4 linked regions of the Saccharomyces cerevisiae S288C genome follow. The gene in region 3 interacts genetically with the main gene of each other region. Each region holds a gene or a part of one and is shown on either strand. Other genes may lie near its edges. The genes, in order: BNI1, BUD14, NBP2 and SMI1.

Region 1 (7,925 bases), on a different chromosome or scaffold from region 3:
AGGAATTATTTCAAAAATGCAATAGTAGAGATCATTTGAGTAAAGATGAATGTAAAGTGTATCATAAGTGATCTATAAACATTAAAATTATATATATATATGTGATTTAATGATTCGTGACTATTTCTTTGTACTAGTGCTTGTTTGGATGTTTGTTTTGGTATTACTGTTGTCATAATTTTTTGGTTTAATATTTTATTTGAAACTTAGCCTGTTACCTGTGCTAGCCTCACCTATGGATCTTTCCTTGCGGGCCCTCAATTTTTCTAGATGTTCATCGAGTATGGAATTTTGCTTTACTGGTGTGTCAGAGCCTCTTAGCTCCTTTAATAACATTCTAGCTCTGTCACTAATTTCCTCTTGATCTTCCAGCGCAGATGTCTTGGATGGCGATGGTAAATCTTCAGAGGTATTCATAACACCCCTTGTGGCAAGCGGAGTGGGTGATTCAGCGTGAATCACTGTATCGGCAGTAGGGTCCATAGCTTCTGGAGAATAAAGAATAGACCCTTCTTCAGTATCCAAATCGTTGAGTAATTGTGGAGCGTTGTCTTTTTCAGAAAGATATTTTTTCCTCACTAGGGCTCTCTTTCTGGCGGAAGATGGGTCACTTTTAGCAGGACCTGCATTTTTCAACTGTTCTAATAGTTTATCCATAACAGCGCGCCTATCTTCTGCTTCATCCTCTTCATTTCCTTCAGATGAAGGCGAATTGCTGTTCTCTTTTTGTTTTTCCTTTTCTTGTGCCCTTTTTTGCTGTTCTTCCACTATTTTCTTATGCTTTATATAAAGTCTTTCTTCTTCTTCCGCGGCTAGATTTTGCGCTTGAGCTTTTTTGTATTCATTTATAAAATCTGCAAATTTCTTAAAGAATGAGATTTTTGCAAACTTATCACCAGAATCTTCACCGTACGTATGCATCAGACTTTCAAATTCCATGATAGTCAGCTTAACTTCGTCTTCTAACAAGTCCCCCTTTTTTCTGGCTTCCGGTAACACGGGCAATGTTTTTATCAAAACTTTATCTAATGGATGAAACTTTGAGGAATCGCTTAAATTACCAATTTCAACTGAACGCTCTACGTTTACAATCGATTGGCTAAAGTCCTTACAGTCGTTAACTAACTGCTCAATGGAAACTTTCACGACATCCAATACAGGTTCTAATTCACTTAGAAAGTCATTGAAGCTTGGATAATTTAACCTGACAATTTTTTCGACGTAATTTAGAAAGGTCATGCTATTGGTAGTATCCTTGATAAACGTCAACCTCTGCAAGGTTGAAAGTTTGAAACCTTGTGCCTGCTTAGAAGTGTCGTTCATGAAATTACCAACTGCTAAGATAACATTAAAGACATTGCGCAAGTTATCTGATTCTTGAAGCGCGCTAACAGCTTTGTCGACTTTTCTTAACTTTGCCAATAACTCATTATATTCTCTTTCATACGAAGTAACCACTGTGAGAGCTCTCATACGTGAACCCCAGTATGATTCTAGATTAACCATCAATTGCAAATAAATTTGGTCAGCCCTCTGTAAATCGTTTGGATCTTTTTCAGGGGGCTTGGCATCTTCGAGATTCCTCACGCCCTCCCAGTCTGTCGAATACGGGGCGTAATTCCTAGCTAAATTAACAGAAACTTCAATTATTTCAGATTTTGACAAAAACTCAACAACACTCGGTGTTTGCAAAAAATCCCTATCGCAGTTTAGAATCTTTTTCACCAGATCGGCAACCGAAAGTGATGAATACATATGCAAATTGATACCAAACTGTTGAGAAATATCCCTGGATAAAAATGTAATTTTCTGCAGATCTTCCTTGCGCTTGCTTGCTAATGATTTAATTTCCCTAGCGGCAAAGGCCTTTTCTAAATCAGCAAGAACACCCTTTTCGTATAAGTCATCTGCGAACTTCTCAGCTTTACCTGTACCCCAAATAGAATTATCAGTACAATCTAATTTTTCCCAATGCAGTTGCTTTAATTTCTTGTGTGGACGAGGATACTTTTCAAATAATGAGGGCGATTGAGGAAGTAATGGTGATGTTACAGCTGATTTGATTTGCGATGCCGGCATCATAGGTGGAGCTGGCGGAATGACGCCATCAGTAGATGAAGATAATACAGATGGTAGCGGCGGCGGTGGTGGTGTTTCTCCCTTGGGTTTGCCGAACAATGCCATGGGTGGAGGAGGAGGTGGTGGTGGTGGAGGGGGAGGAGCAGGAGAATCCCCAGTAGTTTCTTGCTTGACAGTGTCGTCTTCCGACTTTTTCTCTTTCTCCAACGATTCACCGAACAATTTGGCGGGAACTGGAGGAGGAGGAGGAGGAGGCGGTGGCGGCTGTGAGGAGAGTACAGATGATTGAGTAGAGAGATCTTCTGCGCCATCTGTATTATTCAGTTTACTCACAGCGCTGAAATCCGCTGTTTTATCTTCTTCATGATTTACCACACGCCCTTGCTTTCCGTTTTCCACATGTTGTCTCATGTCTTTCTCAGCTTTGTCAAAGGCGGAAGCTGCACTTGCCGTGCTGTTTTCCGGTAAAGATTTTTTATCTAGACCTTCATCTTCATTTTGTTCATATGGTTCAACTTTATTTACCTTCTGTGTTAACTCCTCTAAATATGGAGCAGAAGACACGGTGGATTTTCTGAGTCTGTTCATAAAGGTCTTTTCAACTTTACTATGTAGAGGTCCAATACCCGAACCGTTATTGTTCTCTCCAAAAGCAGCCGATGCAGTAACATTTTGACCAGTACCATATTTTTGAGATAAGGCATCGAGAAAAGACCCAGGACCTGATCCTGAAGATAGCTCTGAGTGTTCGCTCCTTAGTTCTTGAGTTGGAGATGCGTCTTGGTATATTTCCTCACTTTCATCATCAGAACTTGAAGAGGAAAGATCGCTTTCCCCATCTTCTTCTACTTGTATTTCGTGTTCGGTTTGAGTCTGAATATCTAACAACTGGTCCGTTATTCTATTAATCTCGTCTAACTTTTTCTGATATGTCTTAGGGTCAAGACTGGCATAGTTAGCGTCTTCTTCCGTTTCCACGTCCCCAGTATTTTTCTTTGGACTGTCCATAATCTCGTCGACATTAAAGTCAATACCAAATCCTTTGTATTTTGTTTCTAGTTCTTTCAGTCTCTTTAAAGCCAGAGATTTCTTTTCATTAAATAGCTCATTAACACGTTCTTCGACGTTAAATTTGGAAATATCATTACTTTCCATTTGGATTTCAGCCAAAGCCCGCCTTAGGTCATTTAGTTTATTTACGTCCGCCTCTTGAGGCTTGACTAAAGGTTTCCTATCCTTATTTTTCATCTTCTTCACTTTGGGCTTCTTAATATGTATTGGAGGTTCAAGACGATCTTTCTCAAATTCAGCAAAATTTGTCATCTCTAGTTGCCTGGCTTCATTTTCAATATTTTCCATTTGCATTCTTAACATTTTTAATCTCTTATTAGGTTGAAGTGTCATGCCGAATTTTTTTGAATCATCCTTGTAATCCTTTTTTGCTCTTGATAATCCGTCCTGTAACACCTTTTGGATATTCGCTTTCTCTGAAGAATTTAGGCTCGAGTTCATACCTCTGGTGCCTTCATTCTTATTGAAGCTTTCTTCAGGCCTCGAATTCAATATAGTCAACATTTTTCTCAATTCTACCTCTTGCTGATGCTTTTCCAAAAGATGCTTCTTTTTCAACTCTTCTAACTCAGCTTCCAGCTGCTGCATAACTCTCTGATTCTTAGCTAAAATACGATCTCTCTCATGCAACTCATCTTCTAACTGTCCAACGAGTCCGTGCTCCGCCTTGCTTAACTTTTCACTTAAAGAATCCCTTTCTGCCTGAATTTCTTCCAATTTCTTCGTTAGAGCTCTACTTTCTAATATAGCTCGACGTGCAACTTCATCAGTCTGCATGGCATCGTAAAGCCGCTGGATAGCCATATTCATATTAGTTTCTTCATCAGAAGTTGAGGCAACACTAACATTAGTCACCAAAGAATCCATAAGTTTCAATTGCTTAGTAAGTTTAGAGGAATTTTGGTTTTCTTCTATTAACTTTGAACTAGAAAGGAAAAGATGTTGAACTAAAGATACTAAAAGCTTTTCATTCTCGGTACCTTTACATATATCCCAAAGGTTTTTTAATAATGATAGTGGATCGTGTAAATCTACATTAAAAGCCTTATTGTTGGCCTCTAATTTAACGTTAAAATCGTCAAGTTTATTATTGTCATATAACTCAATTTGGTCAATTACCTTGTCGTAATCTAGCAGTTTTATTTTGTTCATAATTCGTAAAATTCCACAATTTTCTAGTTTCGTCCTTAATAGCATTCTTTGATTTATGTTATCAGAGCAAGAGCATAAATGATTGATAAAAACCATTGTCCATTGGCAGTATTCTAGAATCGCATTTTCACCCCCACCATTTTTAAATTCATCCGACGCGCCTACTAAGGAACCCATTTTTCCTCTTCCATCTAAAGTTTGTTCAACGGCAAATAACCAGGCTTGAATAATTTTCAAATGACTTTCCAAGGTTAAATGAGAGAAATACTGGGGCATTTTTTTGAAGTTTTGAATCATATGAAGATTTTGCCCTATCCTAAACTTTTTATCTAGTGAGGTAAGAACTGCTTCGAATCTGCTTTTATTTTTTTTTTCTAGCATACAAACAAAAATTTCAGTGGCCATTTTCCTTGTGGCCAGTTTCGTAGAGAATAAACCTTCTGCAACAGTATCAGTCATTAACCTATGTGTACTGAACTCATACAAACCTTGTGAGAGCATTGATAAGACTCTGAAGCATTTAAAAAATGAATTTTCTTTCTCTAATAATTCTTTAGTCAAGTTTTCTCGGGGTGCAGTCTTATAAATAGAGTTCATTAGTACATTAGCCATAGCAATGTGACCCTGATGGTCTATAAAAGCGTCTACCCAGTCTAACTGTTCAGTTCTTAAAGTTACCCATAAATCTTTCATCTCATCGCTAGTAAGTTTGTCTGCCAGGATTCGTTGCACATAATGTATCGGTGGTCTGTTTGTTCTGTCTCCTGGAAGAGTAGATGCACTCGTATTGTTCTCAGCCCCACCTCTATAAATATTGTTTAGAGATGGCTGCTTTTTCAAACTCCCGCTCACTAATTTTTTCCCCTTCGAGGTTGACGTACCTACCGATGAAAGAGTAGTAGAATGATTTAAACTGTTGCTGTATACAGTTGAGGTGGGAGAAGAGGCGCTTGTCATCAAAACAGATTTGGGAGACGAAAGAGATGAATTAGCCGTAAGGATAGGATGATGGTCCGACGCCATCGAAGTTCTGGAGGCAGTGGAAGAAGATGTAGTGTTTGCTCGCATTTTTTTTAGCTCATTTTGTAAATCCTGCTTAACAATCAGCCATTTCTTCTCAATGCTGTAGCCCATCAGAGCTTCTTGTTTGTCCTCTGATAAAGACTGAAAAATATTTCTTTTATACATAATATCTTCAAACAAAACTTCCACCTCGTATGGGTCCGACGGCATTTCTAAATAAATTTTACCATCGGGTGTAGTGAATTTGCTCAAGTTAGTTAGCGAACCTTGAGAGAGAAGACTTGATGCGGAGTGACTTTGCCCGGTATGCTGCCTTGTTAGCTTATTGGACGCCTGTGAAGAATTCCTCTTGGAATACGAATATTTCGATTGCATTGAATGCGACCTTGCGTGCTGTGAGGATACGGGAACATCTCCACTTAATTTACCATTCATATATTGAGACAAGTTTTGTGTGTTTAATGTCGATTTTTTATTCAACGGCCTCGCCTCAGTAGATGTAGACCTAGAAGGTGCATTCAGTTTTCTAAAAGATGACGAAGATGCAGGTGAAGTGGACACTTCGTTTCCCACTGGAGAGTGCTGTTGTTGGGATGCATAGGTCGGAGAACCCGTATTGCTATTCGTTGCATTTGAGTTAGCCAAACGCTTCAAATTTTGGAATATACCAGAACTCGAATTCGAATGACTTTCCTTTGAGTTCGAATGTTTGGAGCCTGAATTCTTCAACATTTCCTTTCCTTCTCTTCCTTTCTTGCTTCTCGTTTGTTGAAAAGGTTCAGGTGCCTTCTTTATGTGGCGTGTATTTAGAATTTAACTAGGCTTGAGTTAAAATGTTTCTCCTCAATACAGAAGATAGATACAAATGGCAAAAAAAAAAGTAAAAAATGGCCCAACTGTATGAGACGTATAAAAAACGTGAAGGGTGAAGAAAAGAATGCCACTGTCCAATTTTATGCTTAATACGAAAATAATTAACACACAGCCGTCAGTGTCCTCTTATCTGTAGGAAGGGTCCGTGCTATTGTTCTTAAAAGGGATTCTAGTTTTCCACATCTGTTTTTTCTTTCTTTCCCTCTTCCACGTCAAAAACTTCCTCTAACCGATGTCGGGTAAGCCATGGAAATTACGGGCGATGACTTTCGGCGGCTAACAACGAAACAACTAGGGAGTAATCATATAATCACAGGAAAAGAGTTGAGCAAGGATTTGGCAAATATACATATACATACATACATACATACATACATATATATGTGTGTGTGTGGTATGGAGTATTATTCTAAAATTATGAAAGGACATCCCAAACTCGTTGCCACCTTGTTTTACATTCTGGCTCTATCCATACCAACTCCTCTATTTGCCGGCGGTCAGAATCGATATCGATATCCTGCAGCTTCCAGAGTAAGCGGCACTTAAACCAAACTTGGAATGATAACCATATGGCCAAAAATAGGAATATTGATATATATGCAGCGACAAAGTCTATAGGCTGAAAAGTAGGTGCGAAAGCGGTGAAGCCCTGGATCAGAACAATTAGAGCGATGAAAAAAGATGCATAATATGCCAAAAAAGGCATCATTTGAGCTTTATAAGGTAAGTCATCCCTCGATATACCACGTTTCCTTATGGCTTGCATGAAACGGATATGAGAAAATGAAATCAAAAGCCAGGCAAAGAAACCGGCCACACCAGTTATGTTCAATAACCAGTTAAAGGCCTTGCCGCTGCCTGCAGAAACCTCTAAGAAAGCCAAAAATCCGAACACGGATGTAGATAGAACAGAAAAGTATGGAACACCACCTCTGGTCACGTTAGACAAGAACCTTGGCGCCAAGCTATTTTTAGACAGACTATACAGTACTCTTGAGCCAATGTACACATTAGAGTTACCTGCGGAAAGAATGGTGATTAGCACGACCGCGTTAAATATATCTGGGAGAACTTTTGTGCCTGAATTCTCAATGCTTATCATAAAGGGCGATGAAGAGACAAATATACCGTCACTATCCAACTTTGGGTCATTATATGGGACCAAAAGGCCAATGAAAAATAGTGAAAGAATGTAAAAGACTAGAATCCTCACTACAACTTTCTTTATTGCCCTCGGGAGAGCTTTTCTTGGGTTAGCCGCTTCACCAGCGGTTATCCCAACCAGTTCAGTACCTTGGTACGTAAATGCAGCATTAATCAAAGAGGAAACCCATCCGAGAAAACGGCCCTCATTTTTATCACTGGAGATAATGCCAGGCCCCCAGGCTCCTGGATTTCTCCAGTACCTGAAACCGATGGGTCCATCAGATTGTCCCGCACCACACACAACACAGAATGAGAAAATGATAAAACCGAGCAACGCGATGACCTTTATGGAGGCAATACAAAACTCAAATTCTCCGTAATACTTTACGGGAAACATGTTCATTGAAGTTAACAGGCACCAAAAGATCACGATCCAAGCCGCTAGAGGCACTGCTTCTGTCCAGTACTGAATAACTTTCCCCAAAACGGATAGTTCCAGTGCGAAGGTGAAACACCACGACAGCCAGTACATATATCCGTTAGTCGCTCCCAGCGCTGGCGACAGAAATCTTTGGGCGAAG
Region 2 (4,242 bases), on a different chromosome or scaffold from region 3:
TCATAAGTCTAGTATTGTAATGAGTTGGGCACATGGCGCAGTTGGTAGCGCGCTTCCCTTGCAAGGAAGAGGTCATCGGTTCGATTCCGGTTGCGTCCAAATTTTTTTGTTAATCCAACACAATTGAATTCGTGAATAGCTGACTGTCATCAGTAATGTTCGTGGAAAGTACCTATCCATACTGTTGTATCACGACTAAGTAGTTGTCGACTACTACCTCCTCAACCCCAGTTATATCCCTATGACACATTGGAGGATGCTGAATAATGACAGAATTTTATTCCTCCTTTTCATTATCATAATCTGAAGCAAAGTTAAAAAATAGAAGAAGTAAGATAAACTTTGTAGATACGATATATAGTTGTTTGTTTTAGCTATCATATATGCTGAACTGTTACTACCTTATTTTTTCCGAAATGTTTCTAAAACAAATAAATATTCATGAATATGATGCAAGTTCGTTGGATGAGAAAAAGACCAGGCTTTATTGTAAGGACAATATCATTTACGAATAATTTCATCCAATTGTTTCATCAACACATCCATTCTGTCAAAAACTGGAGCATAGAGATGTTGAACCAAAGAATTGGGCTTCGAAGCCGGATCGGACATATTGGTATTAGACAATGCCCTTGATCCGGAAAGTGAACTATTTATGCTTGCTGATGATACCGCCCTTTGTTCATCCATATAAAAATCTTCTTCAGATGATGAGTGTAACGATAAGGTTGATTGCTTTTCTTCTTCGGGGGTACTGTGATGTTTTTCTAGCTCCTCTTTAGGTTGTTCTGCGTCAGTTTGATTTGCCATTCCTCCACTAGACCCCAAGCTGGCTTGAATTTGCCCCTCTGTGTTTTCCACGTTTGTTGTCTCTTCAATTTTCGATTTTGCATGAATATATTGTGAAATGTCCTTTATTGCTCTAGATGATGGAATACTGCTGCTTTCTTCAACTATTGGAGTGGATGGTGATTCGTTTGTCCATTCTGACGACGACGGTGAAAACTCGCCAATTGTTGAAAGGGAATTTTGAGAGTCTGATTTTGCCATACCATTCGCAAATGGCATACGAGGCGCTTCAAATACTTTTTTCAGATCGGTATCGTAATCACTGTCAACCGGTTCAGACTTTTCTTGCCCCACATACCGATTTGCATTATAATCATCTTCTCTGTCTTTACTCGATGATGTCTTAGGCTCACTTTCGTTTTTGTTGTCTTGTCTCCGAACTTTTTTCACATTTAGTGGTGTATTCAAAGATGTACTAAAGGAGACGTCGCTCACTACATCGCTCGTATCATCATCCTGGAATTTGCCAAAATTTAACTTCGCTTCAGTGTATTCGTCCCGGTGCGTTACTTTTGTTTCCTTGTCGTTATCAACATCATCGTCGTACGACTGTCCATTGCCTTCACCGCCATCATCGTTACTATCTAACGAGGTATCTTCAATTGCATCATCTATAAACCTGTCTGCATAACCGACAACATCATTGAAACTAACAGATTTGTTCCCCTTACCATATCCATTCAGTGCAGGTGTCGGAATTATACTCTCTGCATCACTTTGATTCTTGTTACCAGAGCTGATGGAATCATCTTTCGAATCGGAGGAAGCAACCGATTGAGAAGACATGTTTTCATTTTTCCAGCAATTCAATCGAGCTAGTCTTTCTGGAAAGGTTTCTAGAATTTCCGCTGGCGCAAACCCGATTTTACCATCAGTGATCCTCTTAACCAGCCACCAATAGGCATCCTGGTCATTCAAAAGTATACAAGGTTCGTCTTGCCCTAATTGACAATGTGAAGAATCATGGCCATTGAACGCATATAAAGCATATAGTTTATCAGGGTCCAGTTCTCTTGGCGGCGATAAGGGTTGGTAATCGTCGTTTTCCTCCTCCAAATCGTCTTTCTCCCCTTGAAACCCTGAATCTTGAAATTTTCTGTCAAAGTCATCGTCATCAGAGTAGTTTTCCTCTTCATCCTCGTCCTCCGAGATGGCGTATTTCAAGCCATCACTAAAATCGTCAACGTCAGGGTTCATTGTATTATTCACTGAAAAATGCACCTCATCCTTATCGGCGCTATCCACGGAATCAGTTTCGATCTCTTGTAGCCTTCTTTCCAAATTGTCCTCAAATTCAGAATCCGAATAATCATATGAGTCGGGCAATTCCGAAGAATTTTCTTTGTAATGTCGCTGATCCCTTTTACTGTTGCTATGCATATGTTTTTCCACGTTCTCCTCCTCTAACTCTTTGTCATCATCTCTATTTCGCAGAACATCATGGCCCTTTTCTGCCGCATTACTCAGTATATTAAGTTTCGAATTGAAGGGCGAACTCTTATTCGAAGTCGGAGTCACCACAACACTTCCGCCCATACTCTCCGAATCCTCGTTTCCTAAAGTAAGTTTACTTCCACTTGTAGGCCTATTATTAATGATATCTGAATAATCCTCTATTAGGGTTGGATCATTCAGTAGCGCGTGCGATTGAAAGGAGTCCATGCCCGACGTCGACGTGATTAGCGAAGGCGCGTAACCATTGTCATGTCTAGCAGCTATAGAACTAACCTCCTTGACACCACTTGCGGAAGTCTCATCAACATGCTCTTCCTTATTACTCATTCTCTTACCAAGCAGAGAATGTTATCTAAAAACTACGTGTATTTCACCTCTTTCTCGACTTGAACACGTCCAACTCCTTAAGTACTACCACAGCCAGGAAAGAATGGATCCAGTTCTACACGATAGCAAAGCAGAAAACACAACCAGCGTACCCCTGTAGAAGCTTCTTTGTTTACAGCACTTGATCCATGTAGCCATACTCGAAATTTCAACTCATCTGAAACTTTTCCTGAAGGTTGAAAAAGAATGCCATAAGGGTCACCCGAAGCTTATTCACGAGTCAGTCTGACTCTTGCGAGAGATGAGGATGTAATAATACTAATCTCGAAGATGCCATCTAATACATATAGACATACATATATATATATATACATTCTATATATTCTTACCCAGATTCTTTGAGGTAAGACGGTTGGGTTTTATCTTTTGCAGTTGGTACTATTAAGAACAATCGAATCATAAGCATTGCTTACAAAGAATACACATACGAAATATTAACGATAATGTCAATTACGAAGACTGAACTGGACGGTATATTGCCATTGGTGGCCAGAGGTAAAGTTAGAGACATATATGAGGTAGACGCTGGTACGTTGCTGTTTGTTGCTACGGATCGTATCTCTGCATATGACGTTATTATGGAAAACAGCATTCCTGAAAAGGGGATCCTATTGACCAAACTGTCAGAGTTCTGGTTCAAGTTCCTGTCCAACGATGTTCGTAATCATTTGGTCGACATCGCCCCAGGTAAGACTATTTTCGATTATCTACCTGCAAAATTGAGCGAACCAAAGTACAAAACGCAACTAGAAGACCGCTCTCTATTGGTTCACAAACATAAACTAATTCCATTGGAAGTAATTGTCAGAGGCTACATCACCGGATCTGCTTGGAAAGAGTACGTAAAAACAGGTACTGTGCATGGTTTGAAACAACCTCAAGGACTTAAAGAATCTCAAGAGTTCCCAGAACCAATCTTCACCCCATCGACCAAGGCTGAACAAGGTGAACATGACGAAAACATCTCTCCTGCCCAGGCCGCTGAGCTGGTGGGTGAAGATTTGTCACGTAGAGTGGCAGAACTGGCTGTAAAACTGTACTCCAAGTGCAAAGATTATGCTAAGGAGAAGGGCATCATCATCGCAGACACTAAATTCGAATTCGGTATTGACGAAAAGACCAATGAAATTATTCTAGTGGACGAGGTGCTAACGCCAGACTCCTCTAGATTCTGGAACGGTGCCTCTTATAAGGTAGGAGAATCCCAAGATTCTTACGATAAGCAATTTTTAAGAGACTGGCTTACTGCTAATAAGTTGAACGGTGTTAACGGCGTCAAAATGCCCCAAGACATTGTCGACAGGACAAGGGCCAAATATATAGAGGCTTATGAAACATTGACAGGGTCTAAATGGTCTCACTAACGTGATTTACATATACTACAAGTCGCCAGTGTAACTCCTCACTGAATATGATTCATACATACCCGTATGTATTAATGTATAAATGTTCTCAGAGCAAATTTTATCGATATCTTGTTTGCCAGTGGTATGCAGGTTTGGCAAATTTTTTACCATAATATCCGTTTATAGATTCTGGAACCTTACCAAC
Region 3 (2,864 bases):
AGGGTTTTACTTATTATTTAATGAGTAAATTAGAAATTTTCAAGTTGAACAATCCCGAAGTAAGCCTGCGTCCGGAAAATATATACGAGTTTAACCAACTCATTCAAGAAGTTCCTTTGGATTTATCCCACGAACCAATCTCCCAGTTAATCTATGACTCAAGATTAGCGCTAAGTTTTGCATTGCAAGCAGGTGTCAATGCTGACAGCAAAGATGAAATTGTGCAAGAATTATTGGGCGGTGCTAATGCTTTACTCCAAGAAATTGGTGGTCCTCTAGATCCAAGTGAGTTAACACAAATCAAGAAGGGTGATTTAGTGAATGAGAATGAAGACTTGGAAGAGTTGGACATAGAGGAAGAATATTCTGACTAATAGTCTTCTAATTTAACATATGCATAAGTACATACACTGATATATATGTATATATCCGTAAGAAACGGAAATTATGACATAGAACAGATGGAAGAAGATTCGGCCAGGCATACCGCCAGGGTGGTGACCTCTTTATCTGTTTTTAGTGAGTATTTTACTGTCATAACCAATTGGAATTTGTATTCAATCCGATATATCTAATTTTGTTTTCATATCTGCTTCGACCTCCGCAACATCATCAATATCTTCCCATTCATCGTTGTCGTCGTATTCATCTTCGTTAGTGTTATCAATATTGTTTTTAGGACTAACGCTCTGTGTAATCAAATGTGTCAAATAGAAAGGTCGAGCCTTATTCTCCACCTCGTTCTCACCATCTTCCGGCTGTATATAAGAGACAAACTCCTCCGGTACCAACCCTGTTTTTGATCCTGACTCATTTTCTGCTACTAGCCAACCTTGCCCATGCTTGTAACTGATAAATACGATGTCACCCTCAGCCAATCTCAATTCATTATCATTTTCGGGTTCGAAATCGTAGAGGGCAACAGCACGTTGGTTAACTATGTAGTCGTCTGGTAGTGTTATACTTTGTCTTTTATTGTATGTGTCTTCTCCATTTGAAGAATCTGAAACCATTTCATCCTCCTCATTGTCTCCATCAAAATAACCATAATGGAGAGGATTCGAATCTGCGTACGCATAATCTTTGATTGATATATAACCTATTGTGGTTGTTTCTGTATCTTCCATTGTGTCACTATTTCCTGCCTGCACTGCCTCCACCTCTCTCCCGTTCTGTAATACTGCCTCATTGAGAACACCTATAGTTTTTTTGAGACCAGATTTCAAAATATTGGTATCTTTTTGTGTGGTCGTTTCCATCGTTGCCATCGTAGATTCAATAAATATGTCAGTGGAAGTTAAAGTAAGGTAAAGTTGAGAAAAATACTTAAAATTTGTTAGTATCTATCACGTTTTATTGGTAGCTGTTATTATGTGTGATTGAGCGTGTTGTTACTGTGCACTGTGTTGCATTGTCCATTACAAGCTACTTCTGAAGTGAATTCTCCATTTCTCGCAACTGGAAAAATAAGTTGGTGTGACTAAAAATAATAGTCTATCTCTTCACGAAAAGGAAATAGGAATGACAAAGCTCCAAAAGGCTCCATAAAGAACTTGCTCAGAGGCTGGCATTTGAAAGGGCTACAAGACCATGACCACATCACACAGACCACAGTTAGAAGCAAGAAGCGGTGCAAAAGCGGCCGCTTATACACCAACAGGCATCGAGCATGCCAGATTACTACCAGGACATACAACATTAAAATACAGGAAATTTAAAGAGGAGGAAAATCTTAGAGCAAACTGTGCGCAAGAAGATAGGAGCAACGATAAATCTTTAGAGGAGGCAGTAATGAACGAAGAGAAACAGGATGTTGTGGGGAGTGGGAACCTCCAAGAAACCCGCAGTGAGAAAGACCAAAAAGACTCGTTGCAAGAGCTGCTGGTTACTCAAAAAAATAAAGTGGAAGATAAAGCAGAGCTTGAAGGAAATGAACAATTAAAGGGAGGAAATTCGTCTAGGCGATCGTGGAGAAAGGGCACGGCGTTTGGACGCCATAAAGTAACCAAAGAGACAAATATTAAGGAACATGCAACAAAAAAATCAGCGTCCGGATACATTAACGATATGACAAAATCTGAATATCATCAAGAATTTCTCCATAAGCATGTTAGATAGTACATAGGAACGATACATAAATAGTACGTTTATATCTTTTTTTTTTGACAAGAGCAAGTGATTTTTTTTATCACTGTCTTCTTTAAGGGATCATTTATCATGGTGAGATTTTCTTTTCAAGAACCTCGAGAATTTGCTACGTTTCTTCTCTTTTTCGGGTGGTTCTGACTTGAGAGAACCTGCTGCTTTGGGACTAGAAGTACCAGACTTAGGACTATTGTCTTGGCTTTTTAAATGAACATGAGAGACTGGTTGTGCCACCGGTTTCATTTCCCTTAGAAGGAAATCAGGCGGGTTTACTTGCTGGCGCTGATCTTCCTTGAATTTGAAAAATTCTCTAGGATTTTGTAAACGTTCCACTTCATCTAAGAATTTTGTTGGTGTTAATATCTCGTCGCTGCCAATAAAGATATCTCTGTTCTTCAAGTTTGATTGATCATAAGCAGCTTTAATTTCGGGAATTGATATACCACCAATAACATAGTAGAAGAATCTTTGTCTAGGTATGTTTTTTTTTATATTAGAGCTTTTCGTGGTCCAAGCTGCCTTGTGACGGGGATTCCTTAAGGATGAGGAGGAGTTAGCAGAGGTATTCGCTAAGCCTGCTTGGAATTCTTCTTCATTCAATAACTCAATTGGCTTGTCCTTTAAATATGGGAAGTATTGTTCGCTCAATAACAATGGATTCGCTATAACCTTTGAAAGAATATTCCCTACAGCGGGAACGAACCTTGAAGTGTGATAGA
Region 4 (3,937 bases), on a different chromosome or scaffold from region 3:
AAGCAGTACGAAAAGACTGTTCATGGAATTTTTATGGTTCATGCTCTTCAATGTCGTTACTTTAGTTATCTTTTCCAAGGTCTCATTTCCTTGGACCACTGAGCCCTATTTGCAAAGAATAATATGGTGAACAGAATTGATTATAGTTGCAAAAAGACGTTCTATAAATGTTTACTAGTAGTATTTATTTTCTTTTTTTATTTCCATCTTTTAGTGGCCAACCGTTTTGTATATATTGATTTTTCTTCGTAGTGGCCTCAAACCGTTTGAGCCACTTAATGGCAAATGATAGCGAACTTTCTCCTGCTTTTAGGAATACTCTTATAGACATAATGCATTGATTTCCACGAACGTTCATGGTTGGTAAACGTAAGGGAATTGTGCTATATATATATATATATATATATGATAATATTGTATAAATTTCTTAAGGTTGAAACCTACCTAGAACAGTTTAATAGAAATAAATATTGTCCAAATTTCTTTTTGGTTGTAGAATGTTAATTGTGATATTTCATAAAGCTATATTTTCAAATTCTTCTCTCGCTTCTTCCACTTTAGCATCATCACTTCTTATTTCATTTTCTTCCTTTTTGTTCATTTCTTCTGTTTGCTTATTTACATCATCGTCTTTTTTTGCTGATTCTGTGACATGTTCGTTTTCAACGTGTTCTTTTTCTTCAACCTTTGGTTGCTTTTCGTCTTCTTTCCTCTCGCTTTCTTGTTTAATGTCTACATTATCAGCTTTGATTTCATGCTCTGCTTGTCCAAGGCTTTCTGTATTTACAGTTGTAGTCTCCGCTTCGCTAGGTTCTGTTTTCACAATTTTGACAGATTCGTGATCTTGAACAGATTGTACATCTGCACTACCACTATCTTCGCCCTTTATGGATTCTGCGTTGAGGGTAGAAGGCTGTTCAGCTGCCACTTTCTTTTGCGAGGCAGGCACGTATTTCTGCTCCTGCAAGGATGTGTCAGGTTGAGATTTTTGCTGTTGTGATCTCAAGTTTTCTTGATACTTGATCCACGTTCTTCTTTTTAAAACTTCGAAATAATCTTGTATAGGACCATTAGATTTCTTATCCCTGAAGACCAATTCACCATCACCGCTAAAGTAGTCGTCATTGTCATCTACTAAATACCAATTACCAGCTTCCAAATCGTTGGCAAACGATAACAGAAATTCACCCCAATTTTCAGCAATGACAAATTTCGTATCGAAGTCCCTCCCAAATGTTATAATTTGAGCATATTTACCATTTGGACCAGGCGCCAAGTCAACACCGATATGGTTACCGGCATTGTCCGTTATTAAAGGAATCCAAGCAGGATGTGCATATACCGGTTGCACTGCATTTGGAGGAATAGATTTTTGATCTGGGATATTTGGCAGTTTGAACTTGTTACCATTTAGTCTTTCCATAGATGAAGAAGAGCCAGTAGATGTAACATGGGATAAACCTTGTTGAGATCTTTTGTTTAGGTTCTTTGCGACGTTTCTCCAGGCCTGAGTCATAGCTACAACCTGATCTAGTGTCATTAGTTGGAAGCCATAAAACAAGCCAGAAGTACCGGTCATCGATTCTAAATCTTCTTGGCCATCATGAATTTTGAAAGACGCTTTTACTGGGTTGGGAAAGCTAACTTCCAAGTCTTCCTCTGCGTGAGTGATATCGTTTTGGGTGCAAGGATCACTCAAAGTTGCATTTAAATCTGGATTATGTTCACTGGTCCAAAAATCGATGTGTCTCCAAGCTAAGAGGGTTTCAGAGACACCATCGTTTGACTCCGTGGACGTAAATTCATCAATATTTATGTCTTCATTAGATGGCACGCCATTTTGAAATCCCATGCTCATTTCCTCATCTACACTATTCAAATGCATTTGAGAGGGATTTACCTGACCATTGTTGCTGTTTAAACGTTTACCCATGTTAAAAGTAGGCGTTTCATCGGGGTTATACTCTGCATAATGGTCGTCAGTGCTGAGGGAGTATACCCATTCTTTAACTTTTCTTTTGAATAGATCCATTTTATACTAAAAAATTCTGCCAAGTTGTCGCCTATAGAACGAATGTGCGTTTATTTTGTATTTTCTTTGCGTATTGATAGTATAGCTAGTCCTTGTATATTTTCAATTTTTCGATAACTTTAGTCGAACACGAAAAAAAATAATTAGCGGATTTAATTTTGTACCTTTATTTTCAACAGGCTTGATTCTTGAATGGCGTATTTGCAAATATTTCAATATTGAGAGAAGCTAAAATTTCTAAGAATGGACTTGCGTTTGAAGATTGCGTAGCAGCGCAAAGAATTGATTAAAATGTAATTTACTCTGGAAAGAAAACACAACCTTTTCAGTTGCGGTGCAAAAACATTCTTTTGATCTCGAAGTAGGAAAACTGACATTAGAAAAAGAAAAAAAAAACAATCTGCGAATTATGCATTTCTTTTTTTCGCTTTTTTATTTTCTTTTTTCTTTTTTTCGACCTCCAATAGGGCTTTGGAAGCCCTATATGTAATCTAGGGTAATGACATATGTCACGTGCTTTAGGGCTTGGTGCCTTTATTTTTATGATTATGTGACAAGGATCTAAGGGGGTTTTCCAGATACGGGAAAAAATAAATAGTAGACTATCCTAAAAAGGAATGTAATTAACTTATGATGTACAAACGGTGGTGCAATGCATGTTAAGCCCTGCAGGTAAATGGATCAGTGCGGAGTACGCATCTTTTGCGATGTTCCCATGTAGATTGGAGCCTCTCTGCTTCGTTCTAACTCTCCTCCGTTGTCATAAAGGCCTGCGATTAGTAAGGTGGAAGGTATCTGAAGTTAATGCTAGGATTTCAAATGTATACCTTTTTATTCTCTTGAACAAATAACGAAATCCTCTACAAAAGGTTTCTATTGAAAGTTCCCAATAAGCAGCAAATTCTTCTTCCTCTACTTATCTGTGATTTTTTTTTAAAAAAAGTTAATCAGAGGCTACTACATCATTGCGCTAAAAAAAAGTAACAGATTTGCGATGTCATACGGCGGATCGGCATCCCAAGATATAGTGACAAAATTGATTAGAAAAATCCAAAATACGTCTGTGTCTTGCACCAGGAGGGATGAAAATCTAGATTCTTTTAATCAACACTTGAAAATGAGTCTTAAAGTTGCGCATAACACGAAGACATTTGCAAAGCATTGCCTTCATCGACAAGTATTCAAGAATACGTATCGGAAAAGAAAAGCAGTGGAAGATCAAAGGAAAAACTTGAACACGCAACTTAGGCAAAAATTTGCGTCGCCGTCAGACAATTTGCTTTCACCATGCTCTAGAAAACTGAATGATCACAAGTCAAAACTTTTCTCAGCCAAATCGCAACCCAAAACACTGGAGTTTGTGCGGGGCAAACAGAATATACCACGCAAGCCGAATGTAGACATTTAATTTAACGGATGATGATCATAAATTGGCCTATTTTTTTGCTGTATGTGTTACATATTATACTATATACGTTCTCCAACAATACAAGATGATACGGGGTAATACTCCTTATTCTTATTCTAGAAGACATACAAATATTTATGTTTTACGCATCGCTTTCTTTCCCTTTATTTTGTATTCACAAGTATATGGCATCTTAACATTGTTACTCAATTCTTAAAGATAATATCTAGCCTTCGCTATTTATTTGCCCCTTCCATCGATTCTTGCATCCACTACGGTATTTAGCAACAATGCTTCATTATCCAAGATGACTCTATTTGGAGAGCTAGCCAAGATCTTTGCAATGTCCCTGGCTGTATCTAATCTTTTCAATTCCACGTAGTCTCTTGATTTCTTGATGGCTTCACCAATCAGTTCGGCGGATTTGGCTTCACCTTGTGCCCTCACTACCATACCTTGTTTTTCTTGTCTGGCTTTATCAACTACAAATGCAGCCC

Evidence for each region.
Region 1: mutations in NBP2 (region 3) and BNI1 impair growth when combined (synthetic growth defect), as found in Saccharomyces cerevisiae (5 studies listed by BioGRID, with this or other methods).
Region 2: mutations in NBP2 (region 3) and BUD14 together harm fitness more than expected from each alone (negative genetic interaction), as found in Saccharomyces cerevisiae (5 studies listed by BioGRID, with this or other methods).
Region 4: mutations in NBP2 (region 3) and SMI1 are lethal when combined (synthetic lethality), as found in Saccharomyces cerevisiae (6 studies listed by BioGRID, with this or other methods).

What each region holds. Positions count from the first base shown.
Region 1 is NC_001146.8:129,327-137,251, forward strand, and holds BNI1 (formin BNI1), read right to left. Parts: upstream 6,058-7,925; coding exon 196-6,057; downstream 1-195. Other genes in the region: arginine permease ALP1, read right to left, coding at 6,614-7,925. UniProt on the Saccharomyces cerevisiae protein: Required for the assembly of F-actin structures, such as actin cables and stress fibers. Nucleates actin filaments. Binds to the barbed end of the actin filament and acts as a leaky capper, slowing both polymerization and depolymerization.
Region 2 is NC_001133.9:166,241-170,482, forward strand, and holds BUD14 (protein phosphatase regulator BUD14), read right to left. Parts: upstream 2,632-4,242; coding exon 502-2,631; downstream 1-501. Other genes in the region: ADE1 (phosphoribosylaminoimidazolesuccinocarboxamide synthase), read left to right, coding at 3,135-4,055; serine/threonine protein kinase KIN3, read right to left, coding at 4,156-4,242. UniProt on the Saccharomyces cerevisiae protein: Important for bud site selection. Seems to be a regulatory subunit of the BUD14-GLC7 type-I phosphatase complex. The BUD14-GLC7 complex is necessary to regulate microtubule dynamics at the cortex and may function as a specific activator of the dynein complex.
Region 3 is NC_001136.10:779,833-782,696, forward strand, and holds NBP2 (adaptor protein NBP2), read right to left. Parts: upstream 1,269-2,864; coding exon 558-1,268; downstream 1-557. Other genes in the region: ACL4 (Acl4p), read left to right, coding at 1-374; U2-type spliceosomal complex subunit CWC15, read left to right, coding at 1,591-2,118; SEC1 (Sec1p), read right to left, coding at 2,209-2,864. UniProt on the Saccharomyces cerevisiae protein: Negatively regulates the high-osmolarity glycerol (HOG) pathway through its negative regulation of the HOG1 kinase activity. Mediates the binding between the PTC1 phosphatase and the PBS2 MAP/ERK kinase (MEK).
Region 4 is NC_001139.9:948,868-952,804, forward strand, and holds SMI1 (Smi1p), read right to left. Parts: upstream 2,033-3,937; coding exon 515-2,032; downstream 1-514. Other genes in the region: DIE2 (dolichyl-P-Glc:Glc(2)Man(9)GlcNAc(2)-PP-dolichol alpha-1,2- glucosyltransferase), read left to right, coding at 1-130; OTO1 (Oto1p), read right to left, coding at 185-358; BNS1 (Bns1p), read left to right, coding at 3,027-3,440; prohibitin subunit PHB2, read right to left, coding at 3,681-3,937. UniProt on the Saccharomyces cerevisiae protein: Protein involved in the regulation of cell wall assembly and 1,3-beta-glucan synthesis, possibly through the transcriptional regulation of cell wall glucan and chitin synthesis.